2 linked regions of the Danio rerio genome follow. The protein of the gene in region 2 purifies or fractionates together with the protein of the main gene of each other region. This does not show direct contact. Links are inferred from orthologs where the notes say so. Each region holds a gene or a part of one and is shown on either strand. Other genes may lie near its edges.

Region 1 (10,823 bases), on a different chromosome or scaffold from region 2:
TGGACATTTTTAATGCATCCAAAATTTGACTGCATTTATAAAGTGCCAATATCTTGAGCTTGTTCAGTATGATGCAATTTACTTTCTCTGTGTGAATTGACTGGACAGAAATCACATGACTGATTTTTCTACTTTAGCCAATCCCGATAGACAAGAATAAATAAAGTAGTGACTGCAGGTTGAAGGAAAGCAGTGGAGTAAAAGTACCAATGCAGCACTAAAAATGCAAGTAAAGTAAAAAGTAAGTAAAAGTAAAAGTACACATTTATAAAACGACTTAGTAAATTACAATTCCTGAGAAAAACTACTCAATTACAGTAATTTGAGTATTTGTAATGTGTTACTTTACATTAGTGTGAATGATTATATATTAATTATTATCTTTCAATTAATGCATATGAATAACAGCTAAACAAATCTTAAAATTCAATATAACATCTGCTGCTTTTTACTAACTCATTTCCCCAAAATAAAGCCAATTGAATGGATATTTAATTCAGGTCGTGTAATAAATAAACAAATGACAACAGCATAGCAAGAATAAAAGAAGCAACACATTTATATTGCACTTCTTATTTTTTATTTCATCAGCTGAGAATAAAACAGTACTCTTATATTAATCATTCAACTGTACACATTCACTTAAGAAAAATAAATATAATCCAAATCATGAAATCAACGTTAATGTGTTGTAGATCACAGGCAAACATGATTTACAGTGTTAAGAAAATAAAGAAGCCACACGTCTGGCCTTTTAAGAGCTACAAAACGCTGTAAGACACCACAACAACGACACTAAACATCAGATGTGCGTCGTTCAGATGGACTGTATCCATCAGCATTTATTTTTTTACATTTATTTTAATGCAAAACATCTGATATTTAGAAAATAAAGTGCCCTGGAGCGAGACAGAAGAGAATAAAGCAGAGCCTGATGGATTCAATTCCAGCATAAAAACCTGTAAACCAGAGGTGTCCAAACTCTGTCCTGGAGGGCCGGTGTCCTGCTGAGTTTATAGCTCCAACTTGCTTCAACACACCTGCCTGAAGGTATCGCGTATATATATATATATATATAACCAGTTAAACTCTGCTGCTATTTTGAGATTTCCACCTGGATTTTGCCTATCCAAATTTAAAAGCTTCCCAAATCCACATGCAGAGGTGTAAATGCAAAAATCTGGTATCATTTTAAAGAAAACCCTTTTAATTTTCATTAAACACTATTAAAAGTGTTTAAAATAACATTATATATTGTCTGTGCTATAATAAAAAATTTAAAAAAAGAGGCGCTTTTTGTATTTTTTTTTTCATAAACTCAAATTTGAAAGTGTACCTTTTAGGTTGTGTGTGGTCTAGCGTGCTGTAAGTAATGTTGGTGGTTCCTGCACATGTCTGTAATCATAGGAAAAAAGAAAAATGTCTCCACCATAATCTATGCAAAAGTTATTGTGTTCCAACTGATGAGAGGTGCTGTACAAGCCACAGGGAGCGATCATTGTTTTCATATTTCACTATTCTTTTGTTTGATCAAACATAATTCACTGTGTTTGGAGCACATCAGACATATAAAAGGATTACTTATGCACATCAGCTCAAAAACAGAGGAGAATGGCCCTGAAGCGCACAGCATAAGGTAAGAGATGACAGCTGTCTGTGCTATCTGGGGCTGCTTATTGATCATAAATGTATTGTTTTCACTTCTGCGCCATGGAAACACCGCGATTCATTCGGCAACTGTTTGATATGTGAATATAATTCAGCAAAAAGAATGCAAGAACCGTATGAGCACCGGCAAGAGCTTTCATTTGAGCTATAACTTGTACATGTGTCATATGAAAAATATGAAAATGAACCAATGTAAAATACCCAGCTTGGATATTCAAAATACTTTGTATTTAAGTGTAAATAACTTTTGTACAGTAGAATAAAAAACAAAGTGATGCATATGTGCAGAAAATATAGATTTTACACTTTCAAACGAAACCACTTAAGGGGATCTGGTGCAATGCTAGCCCTTTAAATATTAAAGCAAAAGTCGATGAACGTTTAACTGGTAAGAGCTTGATTAGTTGCATCAGGTGTGTTTGATGAGGGTTGGAGCTAAACTCTCCAGGACACCGGCCCTTCAGGACTGACACTCCTGCTGTAAATGAATCAAAATCATTTTCTAAATTGCAAATATAAGGAAAATGTCTCATTCAGCTTGCTCAAATCCTTTTTTTTAACAGTATATTAGTATTTACAGTCCTGGATTTTGTATTTTTTGCATCTGAATAAGAAACAGACCACTGAAATGCACTGAATATCCATGACGTCAGGCCTAAATCTTCAGTATAAATTCTGCAACATCTCTACAAACACAAACACACATTTGATTTATTTTTTTAAATTATTAATGTTAAATGTTCAATTTTTTTATTTTTATTATCGTTGTTTTTTAATTAAAGAACATTTTATTTATTTATTTTTTGCATTAATGAATGTGGTAACACTTTACAATATTACTTAATATTATTTAATGTATTTGCTAACATGAACAATACATTTATTAGTGTTTATTCCTCTTTGATAATGATAGTTAATTAAAGTAAATTCATGCATTTATTTATTTTTTTACATTTTATTTTAATAATGCAATATTTAATGATGAACTATGATTAATAAATGCTGAACAAATATTATTGGTTCATGTTAATAAATACATTAAATAATAAAAGCCTACACTACCTGACTAAAGTCTTGTCGTTGATCCCAGTTGTAAGAGCTGCAAAAAATATTTTGACTTCTAGCTGATCATTTGGAAAAGTGTCAGACGGTGGATTATTCAGATCAATCGTCTGTTGAGCTGCAACCCAAACATCACCAATACTGGAGAAGACCTACTGGAACCAGCATGGACCAAGATTCTCACACAAATCAGTCAAGTTTGGTGAAGGAGAAATCATGGTTTGGGGTTACATTCAGTATGGGGGAGTGCAAGAGGATGGCAACATCAACAGCCTGAGGTATCAAGACATCTGTGCTGCCCATTACATTACAAACCACAGGAGATGGACAATTCTCCAGCAGGATAGCGCTCCTTCTCATACTTCAGCCTCCACATCAAAGCTCCTGAAAGCAAAGAAGGTCAAGCTGCTCCAGGATTGGCCAGCCCAGTCACCAGACATGAACATTATTGAGCATGTCTGGGGTAAAATGGAGGAGGTGTTGAAGATGAATCCAAAGACTCTTGATGAACTCTGGGAGTCCTGCAGGAAGGTTTTCTTCTTCATTCCAGATGACTTTATTAATCAGTGATTTGAGTCATGTCAGAGATGTATGGATGCAGTCCTCCAAGCTCATGATGGAGTCAGACACAAAATTCACTCTGTCTCCACTGCAGCAGGACTTTATATTCTATACTGGACATGATCATATTTTATTGTGCTCAAATAAGCGTCATCTAGAGGCTTTTGCCTTTTCTATAAGCCATTTCTGATACCAAATGATCAACTAGAGGTTATTATTTGTTATTCCTAAAACTTGGCGATAAGACTTTTATCAGGTAGTGTATTGTAAAGTGTGACCAATAAACTAGTGTGTTTTTTAAAGGTATAAAAAGAGTGCTAGCTGCAGATTTGTGAACACTAAAACAGCTAAGATTGTTCATTTAGTCAAGTGGTTTGTGAGTTTATGACTGTCAGGAATGGCAATATTCTAACAGTGGATTGTGTTGATGACATTAAATTGCATTTTTGGTCTTTTTTTTTATTCGAAATATATTGCTATTGTTGTGAATTCAACCACATACAGTACGTACATGTCATCTCTGTAGGCATTTCCAGGTCACAGCTCATGGTGAAAATCAAAATAAGTTTATTTCACATTAAAAAACCATTAAACATGAAGCCTATTTTTTTGCAATTGTGTTTTTTTTAAACAATAATGAATTGAGAATGGAATTTTATTGCATTTCGGGACACTGCAAAAATGCTTTCTTACTTATTTTGACTTGTTTCTAGCTCAAATATCTAAAAATACTGCGATAAAGGAGCATTTTCAAGACAACTAGTGTTGTTTTCAGGAGTAATATGTTAAAATAAAGAGGGATTTTCCTTAAAACAAGCTAAATAATCTGCCATAGGTGAAAGCAAATTAATGTTTTGCATTTAGATTATTTTACTCAACTCATTGGCAGATTATTAAGCTTGTTTTAAAGAAAAACTTACTTAATTTTTACATATTATTTCTAAAAACATCACAATCATGTTTATTTGTCAAGAAAAAGCCTCTTAATTTAAGACTTTTTCAACATTTAAACAAGAAACAAGACAAAAACTCAGCATTTATAGCATTATAATGTCAAGTTTTAATGTAAAATGTAAAACAGGCTTCATTTTTCACCATGCAATCAGTAATTACATCAGCAACTTCTTTGGATTGTGAGCTGAAGTTTGACCTGTTGCATATTACGCCTGTGTGTGTGTGTGTGTGTGTGTGTGTGTGTGTGTGTGTGTTTTACTAATAAAGTGCAACGCATCCTACCTCTCTGTGTCTAAAAATGACATGCAAACTCAAAGCTCAAGAAAAAAAGCGAAAGGAGAGAGTTTGTTGCATGTTGAGACGCAGGTTTTGTGCATAGAGCGAGCTGAAGTGTTTGTTTCATCGCAGATCTTTAACTAAGGCAGTATAAAATCAGAATGGCGAGAAAATCAGAGAAACAGAAAGCTGAGAGATGAGGAGAGCGTCCAGGAAAACACTGCTGATCTCTCGGTAGCAGCTTCTGATATGATGGTGATTATGAGCTGATGTTTTCATGCTTTACTCCTGACCGAAACCTTCTGTTTCCTCGATGGCGAAGAGCAGCTTCTCCTTTAACTGTTCATAGCTTTTATAGGGCGGCAGGTCTAGACGGTTAAAGCTGGTGGAGTCAAAAAAAAAATATATATATATATACAGAGACAAAATGATTGATTAATAATAATTCCTGACATTTATAAGGCACTCTTCTAGACACTAACAGCGCTGTACACAAGGGGGGAGAAATCTCCTTAAGCCTAGTTCACACTACAGGATTTTAAACATCAGCAGATCACTGTGCCGTTCACACTACATGACCTGACTTTGTGTGTTTTAATCTCTGTGGTGTTCACACTACGCAACACTCCGTGAACGATCCACAAGAGGGGGGTCACACACTACATGACAACAACTCATTCCCCAACAGCTCATTCAAGCTACCAAACCACAGCCAATGAAATTATGAGGGAGGAGTCATCAGAAAAAGCTGAACACTATTGGCTGCTTGTGTGCTGATTACACCTCTGACAGCGTTTCAATCATTGGCAGAAGCATTTAAAAACATCATCAAATCAGCGGATTCATCAGCGGATCAATCACTCATCTGCATGTTCGAGTGGATAGATACACAGAGAGTTTTTAATTTTTGTAATTTTATAACTCTTTGAAATAAACTAACAAATAACACCCTGCCGTTTTCTAACTATCAGTGTATTTCTTTCTGACATTGTTATTTTTTTAATTACAAAACAGTAAAGAACTGAGCATTTCTGCCTTAAATTACCATATTGGTCAAAATGACTGCATGCATGTCTGATACTTTTTAATGTGACTTTAAATATGTGTGCATTTTCTTGCCTAGCAACTTCCTGCTAACATAAACAAAACTTTCTGATGGCAAAAACATCAATTTACTTCAGATATCTTTCAAAACTGCATATTCTGTGCTGTGAAATAGCTCCTGTTTGAAAGTGGAAATGAAAGCCAAGCCTTTGCGTGTTCCAGTAGCTTAACTACATATTTATAGGCTGTATTACCAAAAAAGATTATATTTTTAGGGTAATGGTGTCATTAAATGTGATGCCAGACATTCAAAGCTTAATTTTATTATCTCAATAGAAGCTTTGAATGTAAATATGTTGTGCTATATGGCGTTTTATATGAGAACGGTCAGAATGAGCAGTATGGTAATTCTAATAATTACACAATTCTAGCTCCACTGTTAATATATCCTCCTCTCATGTCTGTACTAACGCAGAATGAAGCGAGTGCATCGATGCCCATTCTGACCAATCACAGATGTTTCTGCTGAGCTCCTTAACACACAGGCATTCAGCTCATGCTGATCTGCTCTCTCATTGGCTGCAGCTCGTCACTACATCTGACCACACGTGGGGTTGAGTCGCCTGACTGCTCTGGAATATTTAGCATGCTGAATATTGGATTTCCGTCTGCGAGGTGTCGGCGACGCGTCAGCAAGCCTCGTTGATGTGTTGTTCAGTAGTTCACACATAAAGAGCGGCGAGCGCCGAGCACCCGCAGATTTCTTCGCGATCACAGCCCGATCCAGCAGCGAGCTCGTTAATCGGGCTAAAATCAGGCTTAAAATCCTGTGGTGTGAACTAGGCTTTATCCCTTTCCCATGTGGTCTCCCATCCATGTACTGACCGGGCGCAGCCCTGCACAGCTTCAGTGGGCGACCATGTGAGAGTTGCAGAGAGCCAGCTGCTGGCATTTCTTTTTAACAGAGCAAGAACCTCTCACAGTATTCATTCATTTTCCATCATTATTAAAAATGTGTAGAAATCAATCTCTCAGTTAATCAGAACTTACGAAATATAAAAAAATATTATAATAATTCCAAAGGAGGGCGAATCATTTTGTCTGTACAAAGAATCACGGTTTGCATCCACTAAACTTCTGACTGCCACATATTTAGTCTGGGAGTTTTGCAGAAATGAGTGAATTGCTGCTCAGTTATGTCTACTGATGAACAGCATTTGATAATGCATCATAAAAAACGATGAATATTAGGATTTCTGATCTTACCATGTGTGGCTCCTCGGCAGCCAGTTTTCTTTTCCCACTTTTTCAATGCAAAACTTTTGCGGTCCGTTGCTGCCTGCAAAAATAAAAACACAATCTGATTAATATTCCCGATTATTATCAATATTAATATTTTTTTCAACATGAGGTGAAAAGCACCGACATGGCATTTAAACCATTTTCCTTACATTCATTCGTTCATTCTCTTTTCGGCTGAGTCCCTTTATTAATCTGGGGTCGCCACAGTGGAATGAACCGCCAACTTATCCAGCATATGTTTTACGCAGCAGATACCCTTCTAGCTGCAACCCAACACTGGGAAACACCCATATATTCTTGCATTCACACACATACATACACTACATACGTCCCGACAAACATCTGTACATTCATTCACCCTCAAGTTGTTCCAAACCTTATGAGTTTCTTCAAAAGACATTTGGAAAGATGCTGGAAACCTGTAACCACTGGCCTGCATGGTGTTTGTTGTTCCTACTATCGAAGTCTATAGTTACAGGTTTCAAAATAAATAGGAATTAAAATATACTACATGTAATCTGTTAAAAATCTAAATAAAATTAAGTAAATCTATAAACACAAAACAAGATGTGAGTAGTGGTTTCTCTGGGTAAACAATTGGATGCGGCTCCAGTGCTTGACCTGAAGTCAGTTCTGGCTCCACCTGACATCATCAACAGAAGATGGCTATGGTCATGTCCAAGATGTTTGGCTTCATTTTTTTGTATAGTAGACAGTATGTGGAGACTATTTTACCCACGCCAACATGGGGAGAACATGCAAACTCCACACAGAAATGCCAATTGACCCTGCAGAGGCTGGCCCTGCCAGTGACCTTCTTGCTGTGTGGTGAGAGCGCTACCCACAGCGCCGCCCTTCATTTTCCTAACATTTAGTAATAATTTGATCTCCTTTATTTTGATTACCCTAAACGTTACATTTTTTTCTGCAGCTTCAGGAAATGCACATAATGCATGTTCGGCTGTCAATGTTTAAGCATCTATTATGATTATAAGAACTATAGTTTTGTGTGTGTGTGTATAATATGGTATTTTTTTGTTTTTATTATTATTCAGAAAAAATAATTTGCATTTTTTTTAAATACAAAAATGCTGTCACTTGCCATTTTTGTTTATTTATTTGTTATTTGTATTTTCAGAACAAGTTTTATTAACTAAGAATGATAAAAACAGATGATTTCAGCATAAATATGTACACTCCCTTTTAAAAAATAAATATTTCTATCCATAATTTTTGGTGCATTTAAAGGTTCAGGACACCCTGGAGTACTTATTTTGAGAATTTAACATATTTTATGTCTCTTTTGATTTTATTATTTATTACATTGAATTAATATTTAATTAACTATTAATATTTTTAAAACATTTATATTTTCCCCCAACATGATAATTATGGTGTACAAACATAAATATTTGCACAGAAATATATGCTCTTTCTGTGTTGTGTACTGTTCTAATTGACTACCCTTTCATTATGTTGGTGGCTGTTTTTGTCCCATTGACTTCCATTATAATCACATTTTTTGACTGCACACCCATGACAGCATGTAATCATGCATTCTTCATTGTTGGTGGTTTTCCCTGTTCAATGTGTTACAATGTGTGGTACAATGTTACTGTAATAAAAATAATGTGTGGCATTGTTATTGTTACTGTTGATCATCATAGGCCTGTGCAAACATGTTTCTGGTCTTTATATGGAGTTCTGTGGAGTAAAACAGCAGATTATAAAGTGTGTGCGGATAATGACATTTACTATGTTTACTGTGTTCTGAGAGCTGGGGTACGCTCTTCATACCTCGCTTAAATGATCTAAGATGATTTGGCAGATCTTGGATCTTTTAATCTTAATAACTGATCTTTGGCTAATTTGGTTCGTCAAACAAGTTCGCGAATCAGATTAAAATGTCAGGATGAACTGATCTGAGATCGATGTGTGTGTTGGGAACGACTGATCAATCAATCCTCAAAATCATGATCAGCAATGCAATGATTGGCTGACAGCACAGCAGCGTAATGACATCATCTGATTAATGTTCAATTATCCATGTGAGCTAAATTACATAAAAATCAAAGGAAATAGTTTGTTAAATATGGCACGCAATAAGTTTTTAACTTTGTTGTTTGCTGCAGACTTACACTTTCATGTGTCAGGAGTCTTTTAACAGATGTGTGTGTGTGTTAAGCAGCATTTAAGATACGTTACTGTAACGCCTGGGTTTAGGGTTGGGGTAGATGTTAATAAAATACAACAAATGGGAAATTTATTAAATAATGTAAATATTTCTTGTTAACTTCAACCGGGAGTTTGCATGTTCTCCCTGCGTTCGCGTGGGTTTCCTCCGGGTACTCCGGTTTCCCCCACAGTCCAAAGACATGTGGTACAGGTGAATTGGGTAGGCTAAATTGTCCATAGTGTTTGAGTGTGTGTGTTTGTATATGTGTGGATGTTTCCCAGAGATGGGTTGCGGCTGGAAGGGCATCCGCTGTGTAAAAACTTGCTGGATAAGTTGGTGGTTCATTCCGCTGTGGCGACCCCAGATTAATAAAGGGACTAAACCGACAAGAAAATGAATGAATGAATGAATGAACTTCAACCGCAACCATATCCAATCTAGCAACAACCCTCTGCCGGCCACGCCCACTCCACCCTCTGCCCGCAGAGCTCCACGCCCATCTCGAAGCATTTTTTGAGCATTTTCTGAGGTAGACTTAAACCGAAAGAGAGGGGTTTCATGACCCTTTAAACAAATCAGTTTTATTAAACTGTTTTTTTTTTCAGAAACAGAATTTTGTTTTTTCACAGAAAGACAATAAAAGAAAAATAATACATTTCAATTCAAAAGAGTTATTGCAAAAAAAAAAAAAAAATTACAAACTACAAAATTTCAACTTAATATGATATTTTATGTCTCTCTTGATTTTCTTATTTATTACATTGAATTAATATTTAATGAACTATTAATATTTTTAAAACATTTATATTTTCCCCCAACATGATAATTTGGGTGTACAAATATATGAAATGTGATCTTCAGTTTTTTTGTTAGATTAGTTCAAGTTTTACCTTATATGTATGGTACTGTCATGTTCACCAGCGAACAACCACCAGATGTCGCTGGTAAACATTCACGCACAAACATTCACACTCATTGAACTACATATCTGCCATGTTATGGACTACAACACCCAGTCAGCTGAAGCCACTCACACAATGATTATTTGGACTATTTAAACCCCTCTTTTCCACACACATGTTGCCGAGTCAAGTTTACTGATAGTGACATTACAACACATTTCCTTTGTCTGCCTTTGCCGTGTTTTGATCCTTGCCTTGTTTATTTATTTAATTCTGTTTGCTGCCTGCCTCTGACCATCTGCCTGTTATTTTGACTTCGACTCTGGATTGCCCTCATACATCTGTTTACACCTGTATTGACCATTGCTTGCCTGACTACGATTAAACCTGCATTTGGATCCTTCCTTCTGTTGTTGGTGTCACTCCCCGTCGTTACAGGTACTAACTAATTGAATATATATGCACACATATATTATTTTAATGTTCATTTAAAGTACTATACCAAAGTATTTTGTGCTTTTATTTTTCACAATTATAAACCAGTCAAACAGTGACTCTTACCCATAAGATCAGCGAATCCCCCAACGGGAAGTCTGCATGTGCCGGTCACAAACTGCAGCAGACGCATGCGCTTTTCATTGTCCATCTCCTTCACAAACTAAACACACAGGTTTATAATGCATGGATAATTATAATATCATCACTTATAAATAATGCATGAAGATTTATAATGGCAGATCAGCCTGACCTGCCAGAACCAGACGATCTGTTTGCTGCTGCGAGCGTAGTGTCTGTAGATAGAGTTCCTCTGCCAGTCGCCCAGATCGATCTCCTGCATCCCACACAGCATAACCTGAAGCACAATTACACATGAGGAA
Region 2 (11,701 bases):
AATGATTAGTGAGGATAACGTAAATGATAAATCATGTTAAGATCAGTTCTCTATCAAGGCCGCTAACGAAATGCTGAATCAGTCTACGTATACTAGGACTACAAATCTAAACACTACATATCTACATTGGTAAATGTTTAAATGCCAAACTTTCTCCAGACCTCATCCAGACATAGTAAAAAAAGTGCTTAATGAAGGCCAAGAATTTTCAGAGCCTAACTACATTTAGTCGAAAGAGTTTTTAAAACAAATGTACAACTCATTTCAACTTCGAGATCCAGAGTCCTCTTTCTGCTTGCCTTTTTAAGCATTTGTGCCTTCATCTGTTTCATTTCTGGCTTCACTGGTCTGAAGAAACATTTAAGCTAATGTAAGTCTGCCAGTGTAGCAGGACAAAAAGGGAATGTTAGAAGTCTTTGAAAGCTGCCTTCTTCGTCATCTTTGTGCATATCTTCGGTCTTTATTGAATCAGTTTGTCAATATGGAATCTGATTTTCCTTCTAAAGTTCCTTCCTTGAACTGAAACAGTGCAACTGAAACATAAGCTAGACTTTTTTTTTACTTTGTTTTGTTTTCACCATTTGGCAAGTGAGAAGATCACCTGAGACTGAGTGCTTATTTTTTAGGCAGTGCAATCTCCAAGCCTGCACTGCTAAACGCTACACAGAAAGGCAACAGACTCTCCAGGCAGCCTGCCTGAACCCCACCCTGTTTTATCTCTCTGTTCCGATCGCGCACATGAGCGGCAAGAACAGAGTGTTGCTTTTCCACCAAACAAAATGTGCAACAAATTTAACACCAAGCAAACCATGTTTGGCTTAAAGGCATTCTACATTTAGAACCCAAAATAAAGTCCATGTGAACAGGAGAACGGAAAACAAAAGCCACACTCATGTTGGCCAGGCAACATCGCAAGAGCTTTTAGACAGCAAGAGCAGATTATCGACGATCAATGAAAACTAGAGCTTAAACCAGATCAGTGCATTACATCAGTCTGTTTTTTTTTTTCCTCGAAATCCATCCGCTGTTTGCAAGTTGTGCAGCTCAAGCAAAACTTCTTATAGGCTCACCCCAAGATGTTGAAAACAACAAAACAATGAGTGATTTTCAAACTCAAGCGAGGAAACTTGTGCAAAAAGAAGTCCAAAACTATAGATGATGCGCTTCTCTCGGCTGTTCTGCCAATGGCTGCTTTTTCTTGCATTTCTCTTCAGATCTCGGACAAGGTCTGCGTGTTCTTTGTCAACCTTTACTGAAAAGTGTGAGAAAATCGACTACTTTGACAAAGCTCCGCAGGCTTAGTCCGACAGGGCGTGTACCATCCACGGGGGCCAAATCTCTGGGTCGGGTAAATTGCCAGTGACTTCCTGCGCCCTTATTTCTGGATTTTCCCCATAGAGGTTTGTTTTCTCTTAGTGGTGACAGCAGAGCGAGCAATCGCTGTCATCGGGAGATAAACAAAAGTGAAAGATCCTCAAGCCCAACTGCTTTGGACTCATGCCATGCATTTTTCAGCGTGATGGGCAGGTGTCGAGCCTCTGCTCTGCAGTTGATGTGGCTTGATCTGGATGTGGATCGATCTGATAGAGAAGGAAACAGTGGCTGTGAGATGAATGCATATCAACACTGCTGCTACCTGTTTAAAATAACAATATACTGTGCCTAGTTCACAATGTGTATCTGATCACAAGTAGATAATGCAAAGTACAGGTGTGAAAGGTTTTGAACGTGCATTTGACCGGATTGCTCAAACATTACGAAGTAGAATGATTTCTTATTAGACTCAATGGGTTCTGTTTAAACGATCTAGGCGCAATGTTGCATGGCGCAAAAGCATTAAGGGCATGTCCAAATCCATTTTTGCTAATTTAAGGACAGAAAAATATGGTTTGCGCCATGGTACGTGGTCTAAGAGGGTTGGGCTTAATCTCTTAATAGATTATGAGTGGGTGTTGAGCATTAAACCAATCTCCCACATTCTCATTTCCCATCTACTTTAAGAGTCAGCTGCATCGCACCATGGCGCATTTGCCATTTACATTGCAGACTTTGTAAGTGCAAAAACTGAATGGAAAAAGTGAATGCTTAACTAGCCAAAAAAGTTTAACAGACCATCTGCAGCATGAGGATAAAGAATGACCCTCCTTCATTTGGCATCTTTACTTTTACTCTTCACTTTCATGGATAAGAAAACGGTGTTGCATGCACTCCACTAAAGACATCCATTAGTCTACATATTTAATTTAGTTTGTTAAGAGCAAAGATTTGTTTTAAAACTATTACTAAATTCAGTTCTAATTTCCAGGAAACTAATAAATTAATAATGATAAGGGCCCATATGGTGATGCAGACGTCTCCAAAACCCGACAACTTGTTTTAATTAAAACAAAAATATGCATATAATAAATAATACTACTACTGATAATAAAAAGAACATTACAATAAAAATGCAAATTTTCAGGAATAAACTGAAAAAAAAAAAAACTCGACAGGCATGGAGGCAATGGTTTTATATGTATGTATTAAATAACATTTTTTTTCAATCATTAATATTTATATATATAGAGCTGTGAACCTATACTGGTCTCACGGTTCGGTTCCGATTATAATGCCATCGATTCGGTTCAATTCGATATCTCGGTGCATAACGGTGCATTGTTGACAATGCTTTCCATACACAGTGTTGTATTTTGGGGGGTGGCTATAACAAGCTGTCTGTATAAACACACACACACACACATACACAGCACCACACTGTCTTTCATTCACACACACACATACACAAACATAGACAGCACTAAACAAACACATACGCACATATATATACGTATATATATATATATATGTATTAAGTGTTTGAACCTGCATAGGTGCATAACTAATGCGCTCTGCGCTGGACTACAGCTTTTACTTTGTCAACAGCGCAGTCTATTTTAGTTTCTCAGAATAGCAACGCACCAACAATGCGCCTTAACACACATACTTTATATACCAGCACACCCATTAAGTCTACAAAATAGCGCAAATGAATTTGCTTTTTAAACAACATGGCACAAAGCATAAAAATTAGGGTTGCGCTGGTCTGAAAATAGCAACAAAATACGCCAAACACATCTTGCGTCTTATTGCGCAGGGTGTATGATAGGGCCCTATATATTTAATAATTTCCTTTAGCACAAAAAAGGTCTGTGTATTTGACTGGAAAATAGATTTTTGAACTATGTATAAAATAAGCTTTAAATGTAATTAACAATATTACTCTATTCAAAGCAACATTCAGTGACTCCAGTTAAAGCCTCAAAACCTTTGGATAATGCAAGTGTTGGATAATAATCTTTTCTAGTGATCAATTCCTGATCCATAGCAGTTTATCCTACTTTAGATATATTCGCCTAACCAATTTTAGATAAAGAAAATGAAAACTATGTTTAAACTGTAAAACAGAATAAGGTGTGCAGGCCTAATAGGAGTTAACTGGTAATAATATAAAGCAATTATCTATCATTATATAAAGTAGACTACTTATTTAATGTGATTTTATTCTTGCAAATTAAGAAAATTGCATCATTTGTTTAAGTATTATGTAGAAAGATCAGACACCTGCCAATACCCACCAAAAGACCCTCCCTCGTCTTAGAAGTAAGGACAAAATAGACACAATTAAACACCAGGTGTGAGGTGTAAAGTGCCTCCATTTTCCACTTGTGATCAGATCCACAAAAAGCACCTTAATACAGGTTGCAAACAGAGCTTTAGCTGCCAAAACTACACCCGAAGCTTACCTCAGAGTAGGGTGGGGGAGGGCGAAAGCGGAACTCCTGGATGTAGGCGAAGAGCGGGCCATCATAGTTCTCCCGCCCCGGCGAAACTTCCAGACAGTTCTGCCTCTGCTCTTCTGTGACCACCTCTGCATAGGCTGGAGGAGCTGAGGACAATACAAGCCAATGTTAATACTGTTGTCATGCCAACCACGTTACCCATCTCTTGTCTGCACTCAACTAACCCTACTGCTGTTTTATTCAATGAAAGAGAGAGAGAGAGAGAGAGAGAGAGACCATTTCATGGCACAAATTAATCAAATTTAGACACATTTGACAAATGATACTTTCCTATAATAATAAAAAAAGATTTAAAACAATAAAAAGAAAACAAATAATATTTAAACAATATAAAAATCTAAAACAGTATACTAGAATGTACTTTTGATAAGAATTCTATCATTTTTGAAGGATTCACATTTAAAAATAATTCATTAAAAGGCTCAGATAAAAAAAAAGGCTGATAATATTAAAAATAGGGCATTGCATGTTTTATTCATAGAAACACTAAGCCACAAGTTAGAAGAGCAGTCTATAATCTTAGCCTGTGGTCTAAGAAGCATCCCATAATATGAGCTGCATACAGTATATGCAGAATCTCGATTCTTTACACATCCCTTAAAAATAAGTAGATAAAAGAGATGTTGCTTACCTTCAGGCCTTTCAGGGAGGGCCATGCCTAACCAGCTCATGGTCATGCTGCACTGGCTGCTCACAGAAGATGTACGGCTGCCAAAGGGGTGGAGAGGAATGGTGCCAATCACCAGGGGCAGGTTTAAAGACAGGTTCATGGCTCCTGGGATATCAACATACACCTGCAGATTAAAATATTGAGATATTTGGTTAATTATTTTTAATAAGTGAATGTTGATTTAATAATATGACAGTAAAAACAGATCCAAAAGCTCATGCAAACAACATGTATTGTGCAGTAATATGAAAAAACTATGGTATGTAAAACTTTACATCCAAACTAAAATATCAGACAACAGAAAACTTTTATGCATTTTGAATATTCATTTACAAATTAACAAGCTTAAAAAATCTGAAAGCGGGTTTAAAAGCGCAAGTTTGTTATATATATATATATATATATATATATATATATATATATATATATATATATATATATATATATATATATATATATATATATAATTTTATTTATATAAAATGGTGAAATGTACGATGGTATTTCTTTATAAGTGACACTGCCAACTACTGGACGATTGCGGGTTGTTTTAAAAATATTTATTTTAGCACATGAAAAAAAAAAAGAAAGATAAACATGTACTTCTTTATATATCGCTGTACTTCTACACTTAGTATAGAGCTGTACTCAAAGTTAAACAGAATGTGTTTTATTTTCTTCATAAATTGATAAGATATTAGAACACGATGAGATTTAAGACTTATAGGTATACACATTGAGTTTTTGAAGAGTTGAAAATGTACATAGCTCATTTGTTCTCACTTGTAACAGACTCGATATTTGGATGATAATCAATATGTCATGACATAAGTCAATTCAGTCATTTAAGAATACAAGGATCCTGTTTAATTGAGTAGGGACGACCTTTTCATTGTGCCAGAGAATTTCCAATTAATTTAGAGGAACAGCCTCTGCCAAAAGGCAAGAAACTAAATAATTTGTTTGCTTCTCAGCATTCTCAGTATATCAACGAATTGAGCAATAAACTGAAGCAGTAAACTCTAATATTCAGATATAAAAGTCAGCATCATTGGTCCTGACCATTACAGTAGTAAAGCGGTAACAGATTGGTTTGAAGGGTTAATAGGTCATTAGCACTCAATGACCTGAATTTCATTAGATATTCTAAGCTGATCTTCTTATCAGTATGTTCGGGTAGAACTTGGCATAATCTCATTATCATTCATAGTGCTTCATGTGTGGAGGAGCCCTTCGAGGAACCGATCTTTCAGCTGTTTGAAACTATGTTATAAAAAAAAAGATAGGGAATTGTACAAACTAAAATAAATACAACATTTTTAAAAAAGCACAAGGCTTACCATAAGTGAATACTCCACTCTTATGATACTGCAGTCCAGGATGGAGGGCGATACAGGAGGAATCTTCAGCATCTTTCCATTCCATGTCTCTGTCTTGCCAGAAGAAAGCGACTCTCCTCGGATGTTGGCCACCAATTGCTTGATTTCCTTCATCTTCCCTTTGGCAAAGAAGGTCTGTGTTTGGTAAATGGCGGCCTTTGGCACAACCATACGCGAGGAACAGTTTTCAATTTCAGCAAAGATCTGAATGGACTCTCCTGTGAGAAGACAAAATGTATTGTTATAGGTACCATAAATTATAAAGACTGTAATAAATCTGTAATATCCAACAAGCACTAAATGGCAATAAAATTAAAAACACAAATGTATATATATATTCAACTATGCCTTTTGGTCATTTTATACAACATAAAAATCAGAATAACAAAACTGTAACTTCAATTAATAGATTTTACAAACATTTCAATCTGTTAAATCGAAGAAAATATAAACAATTACCAAAATAAGTTTTTAGAAACCCTAGTATGATGCAAAATATTGAAAATGTAAACTATTAGGAGGCTTACCTGGAGTATAACCCTTTCGTTCAATTTTGGCACTTAGGGAAATTGGACCTGAGGTGCAAAACCAGCAGCATAAAGTCTTTTCTTTAGTTCCTGCCTGCGGAGACTGTGAAAGTAGAATAACAACACTTTAGAATACAAAATAATGGTTATTCTCCAATGCTGAGTAAAGGGATGTAAATGATGCAAACGCTCACCAGCAGAAGAGGAGTGTTGATGTCTATGTGTTCAAAGACAGTGAACTCTTTCTTTGTCTTCATGGGCAGAAGCCACGGCCTGTGCAACTCAGCCTTTACCCAGTAGCGCACACTGCCATGCTTCCCTTCGAATGAGGTAGCCAGAGGTCTGCATGTGCACGACACAAAGAAACATTTCATTAAGCATTACGACATACAGAACGGGTGAACAAATGTTAGGTCTGGTGCCACATCCACTCACGTTTGTGGAAGCTCAAAGCTGAATGCATACTCATGCCTTCCTGAATGAATAGTGGTGAGTCCCTCCTCGGAGTTATCATCATCTGAAACAGAAAAGAATAATATTCCAAATATACCTTACCTGCCAAAGCATTGATCATCTTCTTGTTTATTACACGATTGAATTTATTCAAAGAGCATACTTGTAAATCAAGAACATGTATAAACCAAGTTGTTTGATTCTCATAAACCCTCAACACCCATGAATTATGAACATGTATAATCATTGTGTCACATGTGTTTATTCTAAAAGGGAGATAAAAATACTCATAAGCGCTACGGCAGTTCATAAGAAGGTGAATGTGAAATAAAATAACCATTTAAAATCGAATATTTGTTTGTGTAACACTGAAAAACACCGGTGGCTTTCGTTTCGCCAGCTCAGCACTGTATTCAGCTTAGCAGAGGCACGGTAAACAAGTAGGGAGCTGTCAATCAAGGGCAGACTCGAGCAAGAGAAGACCGGCCTAAACCGGAGCCCGCTGCTTCACTGTGCCGGCGCGCTCATTACGTATTCAGTGTGCGGTAACGCGCGCGCGCGCACAGGACCAGCAGGGACAAGCCTCCCATTGAATGCACGCGTGTGCTGCGGCGTGGAGTATTTTTCTCCCATTCAGCAAAAACACGTGAGAAAAATATGACAGATTGAAAAAAAAAAATCTCACACCAGCAATCACAAACGACAGAAAAACGATCAGTTTCCAAAACAAATTCACCTTTATTGTAACCCAAACATTCATACAGAAGCAGTAAGTCACAATTAGACATTGTTTCGACATTATTAGACATTACTTCGATTCGAAATATACAGGAAGTTAATTTCTTTGAAATTACAGTAAGCATGCAACTAACAAAATCATAACATGCACTATCTGATTTGTATACAGAGTTTCAACAGGCAAACATTACAATGTTTCTCCATCTCAAGCTAAATATTATGGAAAACATGTACAATTTGTATTTACTAAAACCACGTTTGGCCCACTTGTTATTTCGTAATGTGAGTTGAAGTCCTGTTCGGTGCCAGCAGTACAATGTGGAACAAAGCGGTGGTTGCAAGTTGTGTGGCAACAAACGACAACTAAACTGTCTGGTGATTAATATCCATAAAGCATGTACAGATGCAAAAACTGGAATGCGAAGAGTCTCTTTGAGTTGTTGTCGTTTTTGCACGTTTGGAGTGACTCAAGGTGCCAGATCAAACATATAGAAACTAAGAATCAGTTATTATAACCAGGCCGTGAGTTCTATAAATGCCAATAAAACTTCCGACCTAATGAATATGCAAATAAGTATTTACAGACATACAACGTGAAGATATCGGACGTTCGTTTTAGATTTTATAATTGCACCGGCCAACTCCATGAATGAACAGTAATGCAGATATGTTGTCGGCCTTTTTCTGATGAACGTTTGACTGCATTTCAATTCAGCCCCATAATAAGTGTACGCTTGCTTACTACAGCTACTGGTGCAAAGTTGCTGCTGTTTTCCCCACTTTCCGCAAAAGCATGATGTCATAGAAGACACGTTGACGCCTCCACCAATCAGAGAAGAGAACGACTAGACACTGCATCAAAACAGGATTGAACCGCTTCTAACAATGGGTGGAAACTTAAGACATTAAACCGAATTATGTACCATTACGCCTTTGTACTGCATTTATTTTATAACATTGTTCTCCCAGAATCAACATACAGCGGTAGAGCACAGAATGCGAATATCGTTTTAATAAAACTGTAGTACAAGACGAGCAAACTGACCATTCATTCAAGCAGCTGACACCTGAGAGAATACTGATATGTTGTTTAGAGTACAAAAGAGATGCTGAACATCACGCATTTGGTAGATCTAAACGGAAAATGATCTTTGCCAGATGGTTCTTGTGAACGAATGCGTATGTCATATATTGGGTGTTTTTAATTTGACAAACAACTCAATCAAGTCCCGCAAATTAATGCATAATTACAGTGTGAAAAGAACTGAAATGTCTGCACACAATAGTGTCTACAGGTTCACCAGTCAACAAGTACTGTGCAGCATCCAAAGAAGCCTATGTCATGTCATTCTGGACCACTGAGCATCCCACCAGAACATTCATATCTGCTCTTTTTCTGAACAAATCTACATGTTTGATCGGCATGCTTACCTCTTTCATGGCCAATTAGGATGTCTCTATGATTGAGATATTCCACTTCTTCTGTGTAATTTTGAGTGTAGGCAGTGCTGGATCCAGCATTTCGTGATTCTGTCCAACGAACTTTCGCAAATCCTTTTGCGTTTATTTTAAGAGACTTCACGCGAATCTCTCCGGTGACTTCGATAATAACTCTTCCTGAGACGGAGTCCCCACTCGAGAAAACAGGGACATTGCTGTCATTAAGACAGTCGTAGCTTACAATGAAGCTTTTTACCTTTCCTAGCACCATGGTGGCAAGAAAAGATAATGTACAAAGTTCTTTAGACAAAACAAGAAAAAAAAGTCACACGGAAAAGTCTATGAAAATAATCTCTTATGAAAAAAGCAAGAGTTAACACTGGATAGTGTCATTGAGATGCGAGAGCTGAATAACAGCAAAGGATGCTGTTATCACGTCTCGGCGAAGGCTTGATGGTCTGCAATGAAAGACGGGGAGATTCTCCCCACCGGCTCACTTTAAGCGCTGCTCTTGTGAAAAACAAGTTAGTGCGCATGCGCGAAGCTGCAATCCGTCCCCCTTCTTCCGCTTTTTGTGCAGTTCTTTGACCGGGGACTCAGGACAAATAACAAGCGAACAGCTGAGCAGTGTATTAAAAGAATACGTGGAAGTCTAGACGTTATTCACAAGTTTTAGCTTTGCATTATTATTTTAACTTTTTGTATAAAGTGCCATGTGTTTGTTACATTTGTTACATGTATCAAAACTGAGCTCCGGTTACTCAATGGGGGAATAATACACAATGAACATTAAATACAAACCTTTGGCAATTTATTGCTATGATGACTCCAGTAATATATTTATCCATTGTTCCAATTTTTTTTCTTTATATAACTACTTATTGCACTTAAACGTAGCCTACTTGACCAAACAATTTATATATTTGACTCGATGTTAAATAAATACATAAACAAATAGAATAACTAAATAAAAATAATGCTAATGTAATTTGAACTGATTATTTATTTTATGAGAATGTATGTAAGATTATGAATACACTACATCAACTAACTTAATATTCTGCTCATTTTACAGATTTTTTCAGACTCTAAATGTCATGCTTAAAATAATATTTTATAACTTTCTGTAAGTATATGCATTTGTATGTTACAGTATGTACTTCCCTTTCAGTTTATACAGACGCAGATTCTGCATCTGCTGTGTACAGTACATGCTGGTACAGGTTGTACAAACCGATGCGCCACTCAGCGGCTACAGAAACTCCTGCGCCTGCTCGTTTTCTTTAGTAGCGTTTGTGTGTGAACGAGTTAAGGTGGATTGTGCTGCCCTCTGGAGTTTCAATAGTGGGACGTAATTCGAAAATTATTTCCACTCAGAAGTAATAGGTTTGTATGAAATAATTAACTCTTTGTGATATAATGCCAGATTACAGCGCACATATTACAAAGCATATGGTTTCTTGTGATGTTTGTGTAGATGCCCTCCACTAATATCTAATATAGTTAAATGTGAGCAAAAACGGCTCTAGAAAAAGTGTTCATTTTTTAAACGTTTATGTTTTGCCTATATAATAAATATCAAAACGTATCAATATCAAAAAAGAAAAAGAAAAACAGGTCAGCTATCAAATAAATCACTTGCTGTTAATATATTTATTATCTACTTCGATAATTAACAAAACACTTACATAAAATATAAGGGAACGTGCATATAATTGAAAAAGGATAGTATGCAGGTATTTTTAATGAAAAAAATATTTAGTAAAAAAAAAAGAATAAAAACGCTACAGTTTGACACAGAAAGGAGCATCTATCTATCTATCTATCTATCTATCTATCTATCTATCTATCTATCTATCTATCTATCTATCTATCTGTCTATCTGTCTATCTGTCTGTCTGTCTGTCTGTCTGTCTGTCTGTCTGTCTGTCTGTCTGTCTGTCTGTCTTTCTGTCTACTTTAAAACTATTAGAAAGCTATATTGAATGGTCAGGAGAGAGGAGTAAACTAGGGCTGGTCTGATTTGTCAGAAGGTCTATTGACATTCAGGAACTTTCTTTTGTGTGCAATCATTTCGGGGATGGTAATGTTTGCTTGAATTTGCATTTACCCAAAGCGAAATAGAAATGAAACCAGTCTTTTGTCGTTACACAGAGGTCTTTTGCCATATTCAGTTGGCAATCAAGTTAAATCATTTCTTTTAGATTTTACCTCAAGCAAAGCTCTCGCATCATTTAAAGATATTATGACTAATTTTAAGAAACCTGCGTTTATTGTATCTCTGTGGATGAGCATTTTCAACAATGTAATCATGACAGCTTCTTTATTTGTTCAGATGCTTTTGTGTTGGCCACTACCTCTGTGACTCCCATCCTAAAAAGTGTGCCGCATACATATGTTTAGCCAGAGGTCTGTTGCCATTACTTGGTGGGATATCTAGGCTGAGACTAACAGTAATATCTAAACCCCACTGTTACCAATTGCTGTAGATTATGCAGTAAATAACTTTAAAAGTGTTTTGCTGTAATAAAACAAGACAGTATTTTACTGTAAAACAAGATTTTGTATGAAATTTTGTAATGCAAAGAATAAATTACAAAGTTACTTTATGTACACATTACAGGTAGTAACTGTGACCTTGAATGGTAAATTACT

The links.
Region 1: the proteins of arrdc3a (region 2) and itcha purify together in Homo sapiens (co-immunoprecipitation; 5 studies listed by BioGRID and IntAct, counting the BioPlex papers as one, with this or other methods). This does not show direct contact. The link is inferred for Danio rerio from reciprocal best matches to the Homo sapiens genes ARRDC3 and ITCH.

The regions. Positions count from the first base shown.
Region 1 is NC_133181.1:60,194,409-60,205,231, forward strand, and holds the end of itcha (itchy E3 ubiquitin protein ligase a), read right to left. Parts: intron 10,799-10,823; coding exon 10,694-10,798; intron 10,604-10,693; coding exon 10,507-10,603; intron 6,905-10,506; coding exon 6,832-6,904; intron 4,904-6,831; coding exon 4,804-4,903; 3' UTR 4,649-4,803; downstream 1-4,648. UniProt on the Homo sapiens protein: Acts as an Acts as an E3 ubiquitin-protein ligase which accepts ubiquitin from an E2 ubiquitin-conjugating enzyme in the form of a thioester and then directly transfers the ubiquitin to targeted substrates.
Region 2 is NC_133180.1:53,052,395-53,064,095, forward strand, and holds the start of arrdc3a (arrestin domain-containing protein 3a), read right to left. Parts: upstream 9,500-11,701; 5' UTR 9,318-9,499; coding exon 9,038-9,317; intron 6,933-9,037; coding exon 6,851-6,932; intron 6,758-6,850; coding exon 6,610-6,757; intron 6,519-6,609; coding exon 6,416-6,518; intron 6,107-6,415; coding exon 5,850-6,106; intron 4,634-5,849; coding exon 4,471-4,633; intron 3,926-4,470; coding exon 3,783-3,925; intron 1,581-3,782; coding exon 1,512-1,580; 3' UTR 1-1,511. UniProt on the Homo sapiens protein: Adapter protein that plays a role in regulating cell-surface expression of adrenergic receptors and probably also other G protein-coupled receptors.